Linked DNA regions of Ovis aries. Each later gene encodes a partner of the first gene's protein in a complex. Links are inferred from orthologs where the notes say so. Each region holds a gene or a part of one and is shown on either strand. Other genes may lie near its edges.

Region 1 (4,617 bases):
TTCACAGACACGTTAGAGCAGTGATCAGAATGACCAAGGGGTCTGTCTTCCAGGATCTTGTGTTTCGATAACAGACCAAGATAGACAGTAACAAACAGTAGCAGAACTCAGATATTATTAAGGGTGACGTGCACTCTTTCAGGACTCCTATGGCATTGGATGATTACATTAGGTAGTAAAAAAAAAAAAAGATTAAAGTGATTTGTTGAATGATCAGTCATTATCATAGATACTCAAGATAATCTAATAATTTGACAAAGGCTATAGTTCACAGATCATTTGGTAACAGTAATTCTCAAAGTCGGTGTGAACTAACTACTTTTCAAAGTAGGTCCTACTTAAAATTTCAACACTGAGTTCCTGGCTATTTCAGTTCTTCCAGATGGTAGCAATTGCTAATTTGTTAATGACATAATGAATAAGAATCAGTTTTGTGTACAAGAGAGGTTCCTTGGTGTGATACTGGGCTCTTCAAATGGACCACTTTAATTTTTTTCAGATTATTATGGAAACACTTTATACACCGATGTGTAGCTTTTAATGATTGTAAAACAGAGTTTCTCTAGAACAGATAAAAACTGCAAACCTGAAGTTTCCTAGAAGAACACTTTTTGTAAATGATGCTAAGCTATCAGCACTGAGATATACCTTTAAGGTCAAGTTATTTAATCTTAAAAAATAAGGCTAGGAAGTAACCTTGAGGAGCTGATGATCAGAAAAATTTATAAAGGAGTCTGTTGTAAAGCTCTAAGTGCTAATTAATGTAAGTAAACGACAGGCTGAAGTGACCTCACAATTTATAGGTATTTTGCAACAAGAAATACTGGTTACCACAGGCTGCAGGATAACAGTTCTCTGTGAAAATTAGGGAATTCAAATCTAAGCAGACTTCCTCAGCACCCCGTCAAAGCTCTTTACGGCTGTGGGTCCAGAATGGCAAGCATCTGCATTATTATCCTTTCTGTCTTGATTCCTGGCGCACTTGTCAGTACGTGCCTTTGGAACATACAGCTTCAGAACACACAGCCAACCCCCACTGTGCGTTCCACACTGTCATTCACGCGGTCTGGAAAGGAAGACATTCCTTGGGGTCGTGAGTGGAGTTGTCAAAACCACCAGAGAGAAATAAATGTGTTTAAGGCAACTTTTTTTCCAAGTACTGGCCTTGATTAGTTTGGAATTACCCCCAAATAAAATGAAGGCTTTGATGGCAACTTGTTTGGCTGAGATGGTTGGATGGCATCACTGACTCAATGGACATGAGTTTGAGTGAACTCTGGGAGATTAGCGAAGGACAGGGGGAGCTGGCGCGCTGCAGTCCACGGGTTCCAAAGAGTGAGACACAGCTTAGCGGCTGAATAACAATAACTGAAGGCAATCACAGCCCAGACAGACCTGAAATGAAGGCAGCCTGCACGTCCTCTTTCCTCTCCGGTCCTCTGGCCCTGAGTTGAAGGGCAGGCTCACTCCTACCCTTTCGCATCCCACCCTCATCCATCTGGTGTCCACTGACCCCAGAAGAGAAACGGTGCCCCTGGATCTGACATTCAAAACTGGCCAAAGGGCATTTCTTCCACAGGAGGGAGGTAAAGAAGAGGTGAGATTCCATGACTCCCACTCAGGGCACACTGGCTGATTTAAACCAAGTTCTGGAGTGGATCAGCCGTGCAGCCCCAGACCATGTGTGCTCCGTCTCTGTGTCTCAGTCCCCACCTCCCTTTTTAAAGGAGGATTAAAGCAGGGAGCATGGATGGGTGTGCCTGGCACAGGTCATCACTTTCTTATGATGCAAGCACTCTTACCACAGCTCCAAGAAAACACAGCTTGTTCTAGAGTGGATCACTGTGAAGCTACTGCCCTTTCTAAACGTATATAAAACCGATAAACTTACTAGTAACTAGTTAGCTAATAATTAAAATCTAAAGTAATGATCGCATCTGTCTCTATCAAAACAGACTAACTTATCATTTGAGACCATAAAACCCACACAGTATGTCTTTCTGTCTATGTATATAGAACTGTTATTTACCAGCTGAGTAACAGGAATTATTGGGTAGTGTTTCAGGCATGTTTTGAATACATCGAAACAAAGTCACCAGACTCAGTTCGTCCCCAAAGACATGGACTTTTTTCCTCTGTATTAGGTGTCCCATGGCAAAGGTGTTATCGGTGTATAAAACCTGAGGAACAAACCAAAGAACTTTGTCAGAAGTCAGCACGAAACGGGGGCGTTGGACAGCGGCGGTGGGTTCAAGGTCAGACCTACCTGACCGTAGATAAAGAAGTAGCCTGTCTCTTTGACCAAAATTTTATTCTCTTTTTCTTCTAGGGCTCTTCCTCTTTTAAAGCTGAGAAGCCAAGGAACAAAGGTGTACGCTCCTACAAGGAAGAGAACGGTTTTTAAAGGAAAAGAAAAACCCCGAGAGACGCAGTTTTTCACCTCCATTTGAAACAGAGCAGGACTCTATGACCCCTGCCCCCGGACCATGTCCCCTGCCTGCCCTTTTTCCATGGAAAACTTTCGTCAAAGAATAAGTTTAATCAGAGAAGTGAGAAATGCTGCACAAAGGAGAACAGTCTCAGGAAACTAGATAGTAATAGTCATTAGCCATCGTCAAGGACCCTCAGCTCCTTCTCGAGGGCTACAGATCACGTTCTGAGCCACATCCTGTGAGCTGTCTTATGGATACTGAAACCCCAGGTGGAGGAGTTAACTAATGATGACCAGACCATACCCAGGCCACGAGCTGCCCCAGTTCCGAGAATTAACCACAAAGAAATGAAACCAGTGCACCTGGGACTGAAGATTAACTGTACCTGAAATGCCCAAGACGACGCTGGTCAGACGGCTGACGACCACCCTGGGGATGACTGTCAGAGATGCCTGTGCTGCTTCTGCACGTGGCCCCCCTCCCCTGACTCTGTCTATGGAAGCTCTCACCCGCTGCTGACAAGCAGGGGGTGGGGGAGGAGTCGGCCTTTGGACAGGTGTCCACCCCTCTCCCCCATAAGTTGCCAGCATCTGAAATGAGGCAAACTTTCCTTTCCAGGGGCCTGGTTTTTGGCTTTTGAGCGGTGAGCAGCTGGACCCGACTCACATACCTTTCGATAGCATGCTTAGTTACTAACCTAAGTGTGAAACTTAGAGGAGAATTTCATCTTTTAAAAGGGACCATCTTCGGGCGATTTCTCAGCGTCATTTACATACTCACCCAGGCCAGCTATCAGATACAGGAAGTTGAAAGCAAGCGCTTCATATGTCATGTCTGGGGTTTTGATCCCTTCTGTATTTCAGCAACTTTCATAATAATGTCTAGTCTGGATGGGAGCGTTTGAGGCCAAAGAAAGGTCTCTGAATAACACACCGAAAGAGATTTTCAGTTTCTCTTTGAGTCTGTTGGGGAGGAGAAAAATTTTCCTCTACCCTTCTTTGAGGGGTGGGGGTAGAAAGGAGAGAGAAGGCAGCAGGGAGGGGCCTCTACAGCTCACCCTTCCTTTCCTCAGTTCCCACACAGGGGGCAGCCCAATCCCCCCCGCTTTCTGTTCCCAAAGATGGTCTCCGAGAAAGCCCTTCCTATGGTGCAAACCCTCCAGTGCCACCCTGGGTGACGACAGTCCACCAATAAAGATCTCCCTGGTTACACAGAACAGAGGTAACCTCATCATCGCCTGTTTTCATACGACATCATTTCAGGGAAAAGACTATAATGCTGTAGCTTCAAATTCTGTTTAGAGATCACGTGCCCACAGCATTCTTTAAGGTAGAGTTCTGAAAACGCGAGGAAGAATTAATATCAGGGTTGTTATTATTAAAAATTATAAATACAAGCTGATGACTGAAGGCAACTATTTTCACGTTTTATTTGACACTCTGAGCACAGAGGGCTTCTTGTCCACCTTCAAAACCATACACATCTTAGAGTCCAACTTCTCTGAGCTTGGGGACGGTTCATGATTGGGTCCCTGCTGTTTCCTCAGGGCCTTAAATGATGCCTGACCCCCAAAACAAATGCAGCAAATATGTCTTTAAATACATACTAATCATTGTACTGTGCGATTAGTCACTAGCGTTCCATGTTTTAAAAGCCTCTTACCACCTGGTTACTGAATCTCTGGGAAATGAAACACTCTCCATCAGGGAGGTAATATGAACTCTTGACGTGAAACACGTATTTCTAAGTCTGCACGCCCATATTCTGACTAGACATATTTACTGACTACAACATTTTTTTTTACAATACTTTACATTGATCCCCTATTTCTCTACACCATACTTATACCTATAAAGTTAGCCAGTTCTTACCAAATCTCACCATTATAGTGTCAGAGGAAAAAGAAAAACAAGACCTTATTAGGCTTCTATTCTTATTCTCTCTTTTATTTTTGGCACTTCATCTTATCTTGCTGGAAATATTGTTAGAGAGAATCATCTACTTGTTTTTATGTACTGTGTATATTTCTCCCCCAACCCTGCCCACATACATGAGAGCACATGCACACACACACACACGCACGGATTACACTCCACCCAGGCGGCACGAGCGGTAAAGAATCCACTTGCAGGAGACACGAGCGATGCAGGTTTGATCCCTGGGTTGGGAAGATCCCTTGGTGTAG
Region 2 (4,772 bases), on another chromosome or scaffold:
GCCCAAAAAAGAGAAACTAATATGGTCAAGAACCTACAAGGAGGATGACATGGTATACTCAGAGTACCATCTTCTGACTCCCCAATCCCTTGCCCCTACCAAGGGTGCTAAACTGTGACAAATTCCAAGGCCATAGTCAGGGTAGAGTCCAGGTCAGCAGGATCTAACCCTCCTGATCGCAGGAGGTTTGGCAGGAAAGCCAGCAGCTGACTGAGCGCACAGCGTGGTCCAGAACTGGGAGAGAGAGGTCTTGGTTCCAGGCCCCAGGGCAGGGGGCACCCCGTCAGAGGAATAGTTCCACTGGGGTGGTGGATGCCTGACTTGGGGAGCACAGGCCACAGAGCGAAGGGCACTCAAAGGACATCAGGTCCAGCTGGTTTGAGGGCACAGGCCTGCCCTGGCCTCCTAACTAAGAAGCCTCCTGCAGGTCCTGGGCCCTGCCCTGTATACAGCTCTGTGTGCCCCGGAAGCCGCTAGCACTCCAGGTGGGCTCATGCTGACGTGCTGTCAGCATGCCATCAGTGTGCAACTGCAGTCCAGCCCCACAGGCTCTAGACTTCTTCCCAAGCATGAGCATGGGGCTCTGGAAGCTGCCACCAGGGCAAAAATGGCATCACAGATCTTAGCAGGTTGGGCCAAGCTCAGGGGTGACCCTAGGATACAGATACCCAATAACCAGCACAATTCAGGCTATTTCTTAAACTCATCTTGTAATAAATCCCAAAGCAAACCGGTCAGTTGGTTACTCACTGCTGCCATTTGCATCGGTTTAAAAGCGGGACAGCTCTGAGAGCAAGTATTAAACACAACCCGGCTGCAAATTAAGCATCCTCCTACTCAGTGCTTTCCTAGATTCATTCTGGTTTATGGTGGTTTCCCCAAGCTTAAAGAAAAACTCTACTCAGAGTATCCCAACCACTGAAAGAGCACAGAGCTCAGCCACTACCTTTGAGGACTATGACAGATGGTATGAGTTTATTTTGTGTATTTGTGGTCACTCAGTCGTGTCCAACTCTTTGCAACCCCATGGAATGTAACCGCCAGGCTCCTCTGTCCATGGGATTCTCCAGGCAAGAGTGCTGGAGTGGGTTGCCATTTCCTCCTCCAGGAGATCTTCCCAACCCAGGGATCAAACCCGCCTCTCTTAATGTCTCCTGCATTAGCAGAAGATTCTTTACCGCTAGCGCCACCTGGGCAGCCCAGTATGAGTTTAAGCCAAATGCTAACACGCAGTACAATGCCATGCAGTCCAAACTCTGTGGTCTGGGTGTCTGTAGTTCTGCAGGGTTAGCGGGGGAGCTTCCAGAAGGGACAGTGGGCGCCGGAGTGAAGAACTGAATTCAACCTTCGAGTCCAGCTGGTGGCCCATAGAAAGGGTGGGGGCCGCCTCCTGCCCTCCTCGGTCGCTACTGTAGCTCAGGCCCGGTCGTCTTGGTGGTCACCAGCTCAGTGGAACCCAGCTCTGTGGCTGGCACAGGGACGCTGTGGGTAGGTGGGGTGGCCGCTGGGTCTTCACTGGGCAGAAGCCAGATGGGAGCCGTGGCATCCAGGGTTCCGGGGGAGAGTGTGGTATCAACATCCAGGGGCTCTGGGGTGGAGAGAGTTGTGGGTGGTGCAGGGTCAGGATTGGCTCGCAGCCGTCCCCACCCCCTGTTCTGGAAGCCTCCCTGGCGGGACAGCCCTCTGACTGATGGGAGAGCAGTCAGCTGATAAAGCCCCACTGGTGGGATGGGGAGGGGTGGCACGTGATGGGCCCTCAGGACGGGAAGTTTCTAGAGCTGGCTGGCAAAATGCCAGTGCTGACAGAGGGCGAGGAGAGGTGGGAACCGGTCTGCCTGTCCCAGAGAGAGGGCGGGACAGGCCACCCCCACCCCCAACTGGGCTCCCCAGCCTTGGATTTCTTCTTCACACAGGTCTGGGACGCTAGAGCTGTGTCCCTCGCCTGGATTGCCGGTCTCTGGTCGGACTATTTCTCTCCCCTCGGCCTTGCCTCCTTCAGACCATCCCTCCCCGTTCACCCAGACCCCCTCGGACCCCTCAAGGATCATGCCTCCCCTCCGACGGCCCCCAACCCTCTCCGGTCCCCTAGACGAGGAACTTACTGTCTGGGTCTCCGTCCGGGGCCTCCGCGGCCTCCGGAGCCTCAGGGACCACCGCCGCGCCCGGCTGCCGCCGCCGGCGCTTCCAGGTCACCAGCCCGATCAGGGCCAGGGCCAGCGCCAGGCCCAGCAGCGCGGGGGCTCCGAAGAGCAGCGCCGGGAGCGGCAGCGCCGCTTCGGCCTCCGCGGGGGTCCCGGGGCCCGCCGACTCCTGCGGCTGCAGCGCCGTCCCGGGCGCCAGGCTGCTTGGGCCGCCTGCTGGAGGGGACGGGCAGGGGGAGCAGGGGGCGGAGGGGAGGGGGGCGTGGGGAGGGGGAGGGCCGGAGGAAGGTGAGGCTGGGCCGCGGAAGGGGGGGACGGCCGGGCGGGGCAGCGCAGGCCGAGGGGCGAGAGGGGGCCGTGAGGGCCACGCGCCGACGGCTGGTCCCCCCTCCAGGCCCCCGGCTCACATTTCCCACCCCACCTCGCCAGTTAACCCGAGACCCCGCCCCTCCCCACAGTCCCGGGACAGGGCGGCGGCGGGGGTTGGGGGGGGCCTGCCTGCGACTCCTAGCATCCCCCTCCCTCCCGCTCCAGGGCGGCCCCGTGCGCGCGCCATGCGGCGCGGCTCGACTCTTACCCAGCCTAGGCTCCGTCGTCCGGAGGAGACTGCAGGCCACACAGTTGCGGACCAGCGGGTCGAAGCACTGGGTCTGCAGGCACTGCGTGGGTGCCGGCCGGTCCTTGCCCCGCAGGCTTCTCCGCCCTCGCGGCATGCTGCCGGAGCCTCTAGCCTTCTGCGCATACCCCCCGCCGCCGGGACGAGTCTGGCCTCTGCTGCCCCGCGGGGAGGGAACCGGGCGGGGCGCCACCCACTCCGCCCCAGCCCGCCCTCCTGCCTGCTGGAGTGGGACCACTCTTAGCCCGCGGACCAGCACCCCAGACCTTCTCTCTGTGGTTTCTCCATTCAACCATCACCCCTAGACAACCATGGGGCGGGCCCTATTCTGGGCTCTGAAATCAGGCTGGGACTGAGACCCGGGGGCTTGATCTTGGGGCACAGAGGATGGGCCCCTTAAGCAGGATACAGAGCTCTGAGGTGGCCTCCCCAAGGCCAGCCTGTAGTCCCAGGCCATCCTCACCAGTCCTCTTTCCCTTCCTGCCTCCTCCTCCGGGGAGCCCTCCTGTGCTTCTTAGGCAGCGCTGGTCAGATCCTCAAACACAACCGGAGTGCCCACACTGTCCCAGGCCCCCGGGGGACTCCCGCACTCGGAGGTGGCACTGGAGGAGGGAGTGCCTCTCTGCCGCAGCATCACTGAAGGTGATCCCCACCGGGGGACAGGGAAGCTTCGTGGACAGGGCAACTTTATGGACAGGACAAGCAGGTGTTTGCTAGATGGAGTGAGGTCCACTGGAGCAGGCAGTGTAAACAAAGGCCTTCGGCCAAATCCAAAGGCCAGGTAGTGTTGGGACCAGAGGGCGGGGCTGGGGCTTTGACTGAGAGAAGCCAAGACTGGCTGCACGGGCACTGGGGCGCCATGGAGGGCTTTCAGCAGGAAGTGTCCCAGTCAGACCTGCCTGTTAAGCACTGGCTGGAACAGAGTGCATAGATGGGTTAGGTCCAGGGATAGCTCAGTCTCTAGCTCTTAAGCAAGAGGGAGACTCAGACCAACCAGTAAACAGATAGACAGACCAAGGCCCAGGAGGCGGTAGGCAGCCCACCCACCTCGACTTCTTTTTCCCAGGGCTGTGTGTGTCCAGGCTGCTCACCCCTCTGTCTCATCAAGGCCCCTTCTGTCTCTCTACTCCCTAGTGTTTGGGGCAGCCCCACCTGACTCTCACCTGTGTCTCTCGGGCCGAGTCTCAGGCAGACACACAGCCCCCTTGGCCTTCCTGGACAGATGCTGGACCCCCTACCTGGAGTGGCGGGGGGCCGAGGCTAGCAAAGAGCCTCAGGAAGGAGCATGGACTTGGTGCCCTCGTGGTGGGCCGTACCAGACCCCTAAGCACGCAGGGCTGGAGGTGCACAGAGGAAAGAGTAACTGTCCAGGGAGCAGGGAGGGGACTCAGGGCCAGGAGTAGATCTTTAGTGGCTCAAGCAGGAGGGAAACCTTGCCGACAGAAGGTGGGACGGACAAGTTCGCAAGCAAGAGAGGGGCAAGGGGAAGCTTGGCTGCTGCCTTGGGGGTCCGGGCCAGGCCTCGAGCCACAGGCCCTGGGGGGGGTGAGGAGCCCCAGGAGGTGTTGGAGTGGGTGAGATTCTTTGAGCTGTGCCTTCAAAGGGACCCTCTGCCTGCTGCTGTGGAGCTGCAGCCTGGCCAGGGTGGGCAGCGCAGCAAGGAGGCTGGCACCACAGCCCAGGGCCGGGGAACAAGCCAGCAGTTGTTCCGGAGGAAAGAGGGACGTGATGGAATGAGGGGAGTGGGGCTAGGCCGCCCCCAGGTTTCTGGCTTCAGAAACTCAGACAGCCGGCCTTCAGGAGACCAGGGCCCACTGCCTCTCCGTCCCCTGCCTACGGGCCAGCAACTCCATGGCAGGAAGGTGTAGGCGGTGGGGCAACTGCAAAGGAGAAGTGGGCCTGGGGTGGGGGTGTGGGTGTAAGTGTGGGTGTGTGTTGAGGGGGTGGGGGAGCCAGGAGCCGGCCCAGGAGCCAGGGCAGGGCAGGCCCTCCTGGGGGGCAGAGGGGCAGGGGCA
Region 3 (5,144 bases), on another chromosome or scaffold:
TTTACTTGAGTCCTGTATTTCTGATTGACTTCTTTGGACATTTCCATATGGGTATCTCTCAGTATGATTAAATGCAAACACACGTGATTCCATTTATGTAAAAGGAATGTGCTACATGAATCAATCATTCGATCAATCAATCTGGTCACCTACAGAAGTCCTTCCAGAAACATCTATATCACGAATTGGCTAAATAAAACACGTTGGCAATAGCATGGGGGACTCCACTCTGTAATAACCCATATGGGAAAAGAGTATGAAAAAGAATAGATATGAGAATATGTATAACTGAATCACTTTGTATAATACAACATCATAAATCAACTATACTCCAATATAAAGTGAAAACAAACAAACAAAGAACACACTGGTAGGCCTGTTTGCAAATTCTGTTTCACACACCCCAATATTAACGGTGATTATTTCTGTATGCTATGACTATGGATAATTTTGCTATATGCACAACTGTTTTTTCGAAGTTTTTAACAGTGGAACACAGACATTGGAACATTCAATAGACATTGGCTAGACGTCCAACAGTGGAATATAGACATGACATAGACATATGTTATAATATTATGTTAATTTATTGTTGTTGTTCAGTTGCTAAGTCTTGTCCGACTCTTTTTGACCCCATGGACTGTAGCACACCAGGCTTCCCTGTCCTTCACTATCTCCCAGAGTTTGGTCAAACTCATATACATTGAGTCAGTGATGCCATCCAACCATCTCATCCTCTGTCACCCGCTTCTTCTCCTGCCTTCAGTCTTTCCCAGCATCAGGGTCTTTTCCAATGAGTTGGCTCTTCACATCAGATGGCCAAAGTGCTGGAGCTTCGGCTTCAGCATCAGTCCTTCCAATGAATATTCAGTGTTGATTTCTTTCAGGATTGACTGGTTTGATTTCCATGCTGTCCAAGGAACTCTCGAGAGTCTTCTCCAGTACCACAACTCGAAAGCATTATATTAATAGTCATATATTATTATTATGTCCCAAATATGTCTTCCTCTAGCCCTCTTTTACCTACCTCTTTTTTTTTTTTAACCTATTTTACCCTAGAAGTAAAAATAGAAGTTGCCTCTTTTACCCTAGAAGTCTCTATTTGTTGGAATTCTGGGATTCTTCCTAGGTTTAAAACTTGGTAGTCATGCTTCATACTCCTTTTTTCTCACATTCTTCTTTCTTAAAAAAAAATTGTTCATTTGGCTTCATGGTCTTAGTTTCGACATGCAGAATCTTTAGTTGCAGCAAATGAATGCTCAGTGGGATCTAGTTCCCTGACCAGAGATCGAACCCGGGCCCCCTGCATTGGGCATGTGGAGTCTTAGCCACTGGATTACCAGGGAAGTCTCCCCCTCTCACATCCTCTCTTCCCACTATACTTTGTGGTTATTTGAGTGCATTTCTATCTCCTCTAAGAAATGGCAACCCACTCCAGTATTCTTGCCTGAAAAATCCTATGGACAGAGGAGCCTGGTGGGCTCCAGTCCAAAGGGTCTCAAAGAGTTTGACACAACTGAGTGACTAAACAGGCCTCCTCACTGTCTCCTCTGTTAGGTTTTAAGTTCTTCAGTGGCTCAGACCTTGTCTTATCTCTCTCCTTGGGGCCCATCACACAGGACAGCTCACAGAACAGATGCTCCAGAAATGGTTACTGAACCTTTTGCTTGATGCTTCAGGCTTGTTGACAATGCCACAATTGTCACCTGCCTGAGAAATTTCTTCTATAAATAAATAGTTTCTGTTTCAAGTATGGTTTGCTCTTGCTGCATATACCCCCTCTCTTACTCCACTCAAGCCTCAAACTTAGAAACTGGAATTAGTGTTGGTATTCAAATCCTTAGCCACAGTGCAAAGAGTCAGCCCCCTTAAGAACCAAGTCATCAGTGTGAAGTTTGTTTTCTTCCTCGACATTCCGGCTGCCGTCACTACATTTGCTGAGGAATTCTCAACAAGAGCTCACTTGTCCTTCCATGCCATTCTTTCTGCGGTTTCCTTGTTTCTTTTTGTGATCCAGTTCCAGATGGCTCAGCGGTGCTCCCCAAACGAGTATTTTGACAGATTGCTGAATTCTTGCATATCGTGTCAACTTCGGTGCCCTAATACTCCTCCCATAATATGTCAGCATTATTGTAACACAAGTAAGTAATCCTGTTTGAATGATCACTCATTGGTGTGAAGTATTTGCTCTGTGTGTGTGTGTGCTTAGTTGCTCAGCTGTGTCTGACCCTTTGTGACACTATGGACTGTAACCCACCAGGCTCCTCTATCCATGGGGATTCTCCAGGCAAGAATACTGGAGTGGGTTGCCATGCCTTCCTCCATGGGAATCTCCCCAACCCAGGTCTCCCACGTTGCAGGCAGATTCTTTACCCTCTGAGCCACCAGGGAAGCCCAAGAATACTGGAGTTGACTGTTTATTCAAAGAAGAAACATTATGGGAAGGTGGTGAGATTTTCTGAATCAAAAAGAGAAAGAAAATAAGGCAATCATTTAAATGCCAACAGGAATGGATACTTTTTCAGAGCTCAACTCTATTTTATTCTGCAATCTTAGCAACATAGATTTTTATCATCTCTCCTAATTAAGTATTAACTTAGAATTTAAAAGTCAAAGCTGAGGAATTAGGGGAACTGGATGGCAAATAATCTTTACCTGATGTGAATATTATGTTATCAAGTTCATTCTCTCTCTGACGTTCTTTTGATTCAGTGAAAGGAACAAATACATTTCTCTGGACCTGTTTGGGCCTGAGCTTGATAGTTTCCTTGACAGTTTTCGTATTGATGTTCTTGCTAAGGAAGATGAGCTCCGAACCATTAAAGGACAAACTTAAAAACACAGGTTGGTTTGATGGTTGATCTTTGAAATCTCTTTCCAAGAGGTGGCTATTGTGAATTTCAATTCCTTTTTTTCCTTTCATGTTGTGTATCTCATCTGGTAAGTGCCCTTTTGGGTATGTTAGATGACAGTTGGGTTAAATGAACTTGGGAGAAGGGAGCTTCCTTTCTGATGTTTACACCTTCTTTGTTGATATCGTACCATGTCAGCCTTCTTCAACATTCTTCCTTTGGTATTTACTCTTTTGAAGTACTGAGGCCTCTTTGGGAAATATCCATCTCTTTGACCAACGTCAGGACATTGATTAAACATCACACTATCAGAAATAGCTAGCCGGGTCTGGTACTATCCGAAAAAAATGTATTTGACAAGATTGGTGGCCGTATTTTTATACAAATACAAGTGGTGTTTGCTCAGATGAACAGTCTACTGCTGAAAAAAAGCTAGAAATGAATACCAATTGCTCCTGGATTATTTAAGCAATCATCTCAAAGATCTTTATTAAGCAGTAGAGAATCAGTCCCAGAGAAGTGAATATTCTGTGGAAGAGTTTTTTTTTTTTTGAAGAGTTTCTTAAGAGAAAAATATTTCGGCACCTTTGCCCATGATCTAATTTCTAGACCGCTTTGCAGTCATTGCCCTATTTCTTTATGTGTGTATTTTCCATGCAGAATCTATAAGGCAACATTTCGTCTGCTTTCTAGTGCAGAACGGGGAGGAAGATGGCTGTTTCATATCATTTACTCATTTCTCTTTTTTTGCCTGGGGCCTGAGAGACAGATGGGGAGTGACTTTAAGTGTGACATTTTGGACGATGGAGGTATACCATGGAACGTTGGGAAAGTATTAAAACATGCCTGCGCAGGAGTGTGATGGGGACACAGCGGAGACTCCTTCCTTATGGGATCATGAAAGTTTCATTAAAAAAAAAAAGTAATCTGCCCAATGCGCTGTAAGAGAAACATCTTTACTTTGAATTGTGAAGTGTCACCCAAGACTCATTTTGGTATGCTGTAACACACGCTGAGCCGTCAGTTCACAGTTGTAAAAAGGGTCGGTATCTTAATGCATCCAAGGGCCAAGTGGGTCAGAAACGAATGTAGTGGGTCACTGGAGGTTCGGTGATAGGGGACCGCGTGCCCAGCCTGAGGAAGACAAAGGCTATGGACTTCCAAGTGTTTTCTTGTGGGAATGTCAGTTCCCACTGGCCACATTTTTTGTCTTAAAAAAAAAATAAGGTAAAAGAGGGACTTCCAGGGTGGTCCACTGGTTAAGACTCTGTGCTTCCACCGAAGAGGGTATGACTTTGATCCCTGGTGGGGGAAATTCTGCGACCCTTTGGACTTTGTGACCCTGTGAACTGTAGCCCACCAAGCTCCTCTGTCTGTGGGATTCTCCAGGCAAGAATACTGGAGTGGGTTGCCATTTCCTCCTCCAGTGGATCTTCCTGACCCAGGGATTGAAACTGTGTCTCCGTGTCTCTGCAGTGCAGGCGGATTCTTTACCGCTAAATCACCTGGGAAGCACCCCCAAGTCATGAGATGTGGCCACAAAAAAGAGAGAGAGATCAGTTGTCTAGATTTGTATGTACAATCTCTTGATTTTCAAACGCGGGCCAACATTAAACAGATAAGCAAACACTGTAAAAATACTGTGTGCCATAAAGCGAGCATGTCTTTGAACCCAACATGGTCCATGGTCTTTCAGCTCATGACTTGGGGTGTAAGGCCTGCTTCTTTTGGGGAAAGACTTTTGGCTCCTGTTGCTTTGATCCCTGATGCATGCTGCTAAGTGTGGCACAACCAAGCACCCTGAAAGCTTTAGGATAACGGTTCTGTTTTTGTGCAATCAGGAGCGGTTCTCCAGAAGAATGCTAACGCAGACCTGGATGTTAACAATAACAGCAGTATTGTGGCTGAACCTCTTCTTTTGAGAGGCCTGGGGTACACAGTAGAAGAATGTACGTGTGAAGACTGTGTCAGGAGCAAACCGAAGGTCGATTCTGACCATTTCTTCCCCCTCCCAGCCATGGAGGAAGGCGCGACCATTCTTGTCACCACGAAAACAAATGGCTACTGCGACAGTCTGCTAGCTGCCACCAGTGTCACGGGGATGGAGAAATCAATTTATACCAGATAATTAACCATGTTAAGGGTATAGAGTTACTTGGAAAATCTTTGTCCTAAGGGAAGGATGGTGTCTCAGATCTCTTTAAGATGATTGTATTTATCAGCAGATGATATGGCTTTCCGTCCTCTAATTTTGGAAAATCTTTATGTTAGCTATATTTTTCTACCTTATTG

Evidence for each region.
Region 2: the proteins of TNFSF13B (region 1) and TNFRSF13C are in contact, whole or in part, in a crystal structure (PDB 1OQE), measured with the Homo sapiens proteins. The link is inferred for Ovis aries from reciprocal best matches to the Homo sapiens genes TNFSF13B and TNFRSF13C. Residues at the interface, in NP_006564.1 of Homo sapiens: Ser162, Tyr163, Asp203, Thr205, Tyr206, Ala207, Met208, Gly209, His210, Leu211, Thr228, Arg231, Cys232, Ile233, Pro264, Arg265, Glu266, Asn267, Ala268; in NP_443177.1 of Homo sapiens: Asp26, Leu27, Leu28, Val29, Arg30, Val33, Leu37, Leu38, Arg39, Pro41, Arg42.
Region 3: the proteins of TNFSF13B (region 1) and TNFRSF17 are in contact, whole or in part, in a crystal structure (PDB 1OQD), measured with the Homo sapiens proteins. The link is inferred for Ovis aries from reciprocal best matches to the Homo sapiens genes TNFSF13B and TNFRSF17. Residues at the interface, in NP_006564.1 of Homo sapiens: Ser162, Tyr163, Lys204, Thr205, Tyr206, Ala207, Met208, Gly209, His210, Arg231, Cys232, Ile233, Glu238, Pro264, Arg265, Glu266, Asn267; in NP_001183.2 of Homo sapiens: Tyr13, Asp15, Ser16, Leu17, Leu18, His19, Ile22, Arg27, Ser29, Ser30, Asn31, Thr32, Pro33, Pro34, Leu35.

Annotation. Positions count from the first base shown.
Region 1 is NC_056063.1:83,041,941-83,046,557, reverse strand, and holds part of TNFSF13B (tumor necrosis factor ligand superfamily member 13B), read right to left. Parts: intron 2,380-4,617; coding exon 2,267-2,379; intron 2,181-2,266; coding exon 2,030-2,180; intron 1-2,029. UniProt on the Homo sapiens protein: Cytokine that binds to TNFRSF13B/TACI and TNFRSF17/BCMA. TNFSF13/APRIL binds to the same 2 receptors. Together, they form a 2 ligands -2 receptors pathway involved in the stimulation of B- and T-cell function and the regulation of humoral immunity.
Region 2 is NC_056056.1:218,762,708-218,767,479, forward strand, and holds TNFRSF13C (tumor necrosis factor receptor superfamily member 13C), read right to left. Parts: upstream 2,908-4,772; 5' UTR 2,855-2,907; coding exon 2,719-2,854; intron 2,358-2,718; coding exon 2,103-2,357; intron 1,589-2,102; coding exon 1,407-1,588; 3' UTR 948-1,406; downstream 1-947. UniProt on the Homo sapiens protein: B-cell receptor specific for TNFSF13B/TALL1/BAFF/BLyS. Promotes the survival of mature B-cells and the B-cell response.
Region 3 is NC_056077.1:11,191,673-11,196,816, forward strand, and holds the start of TNFRSF17 (tumor necrosis factor receptor superfamily member 17), read left to right. Parts: upstream 1-1,897; 5' UTR 1,898-2,023; coding exon 2,024-2,141; intron 2,142-2,712; coding exon 2,713-2,844; intron 2,845-4,693; coding exon 4,694-4,980; 3' UTR 4,981-5,144. UniProt on the Homo sapiens protein: Receptor for TNFSF13B/BLyS/BAFF and TNFSF13/APRIL. Promotes B-cell survival and plays a role in the regulation of humoral immunity. Activates NF-kappa-B and JNK.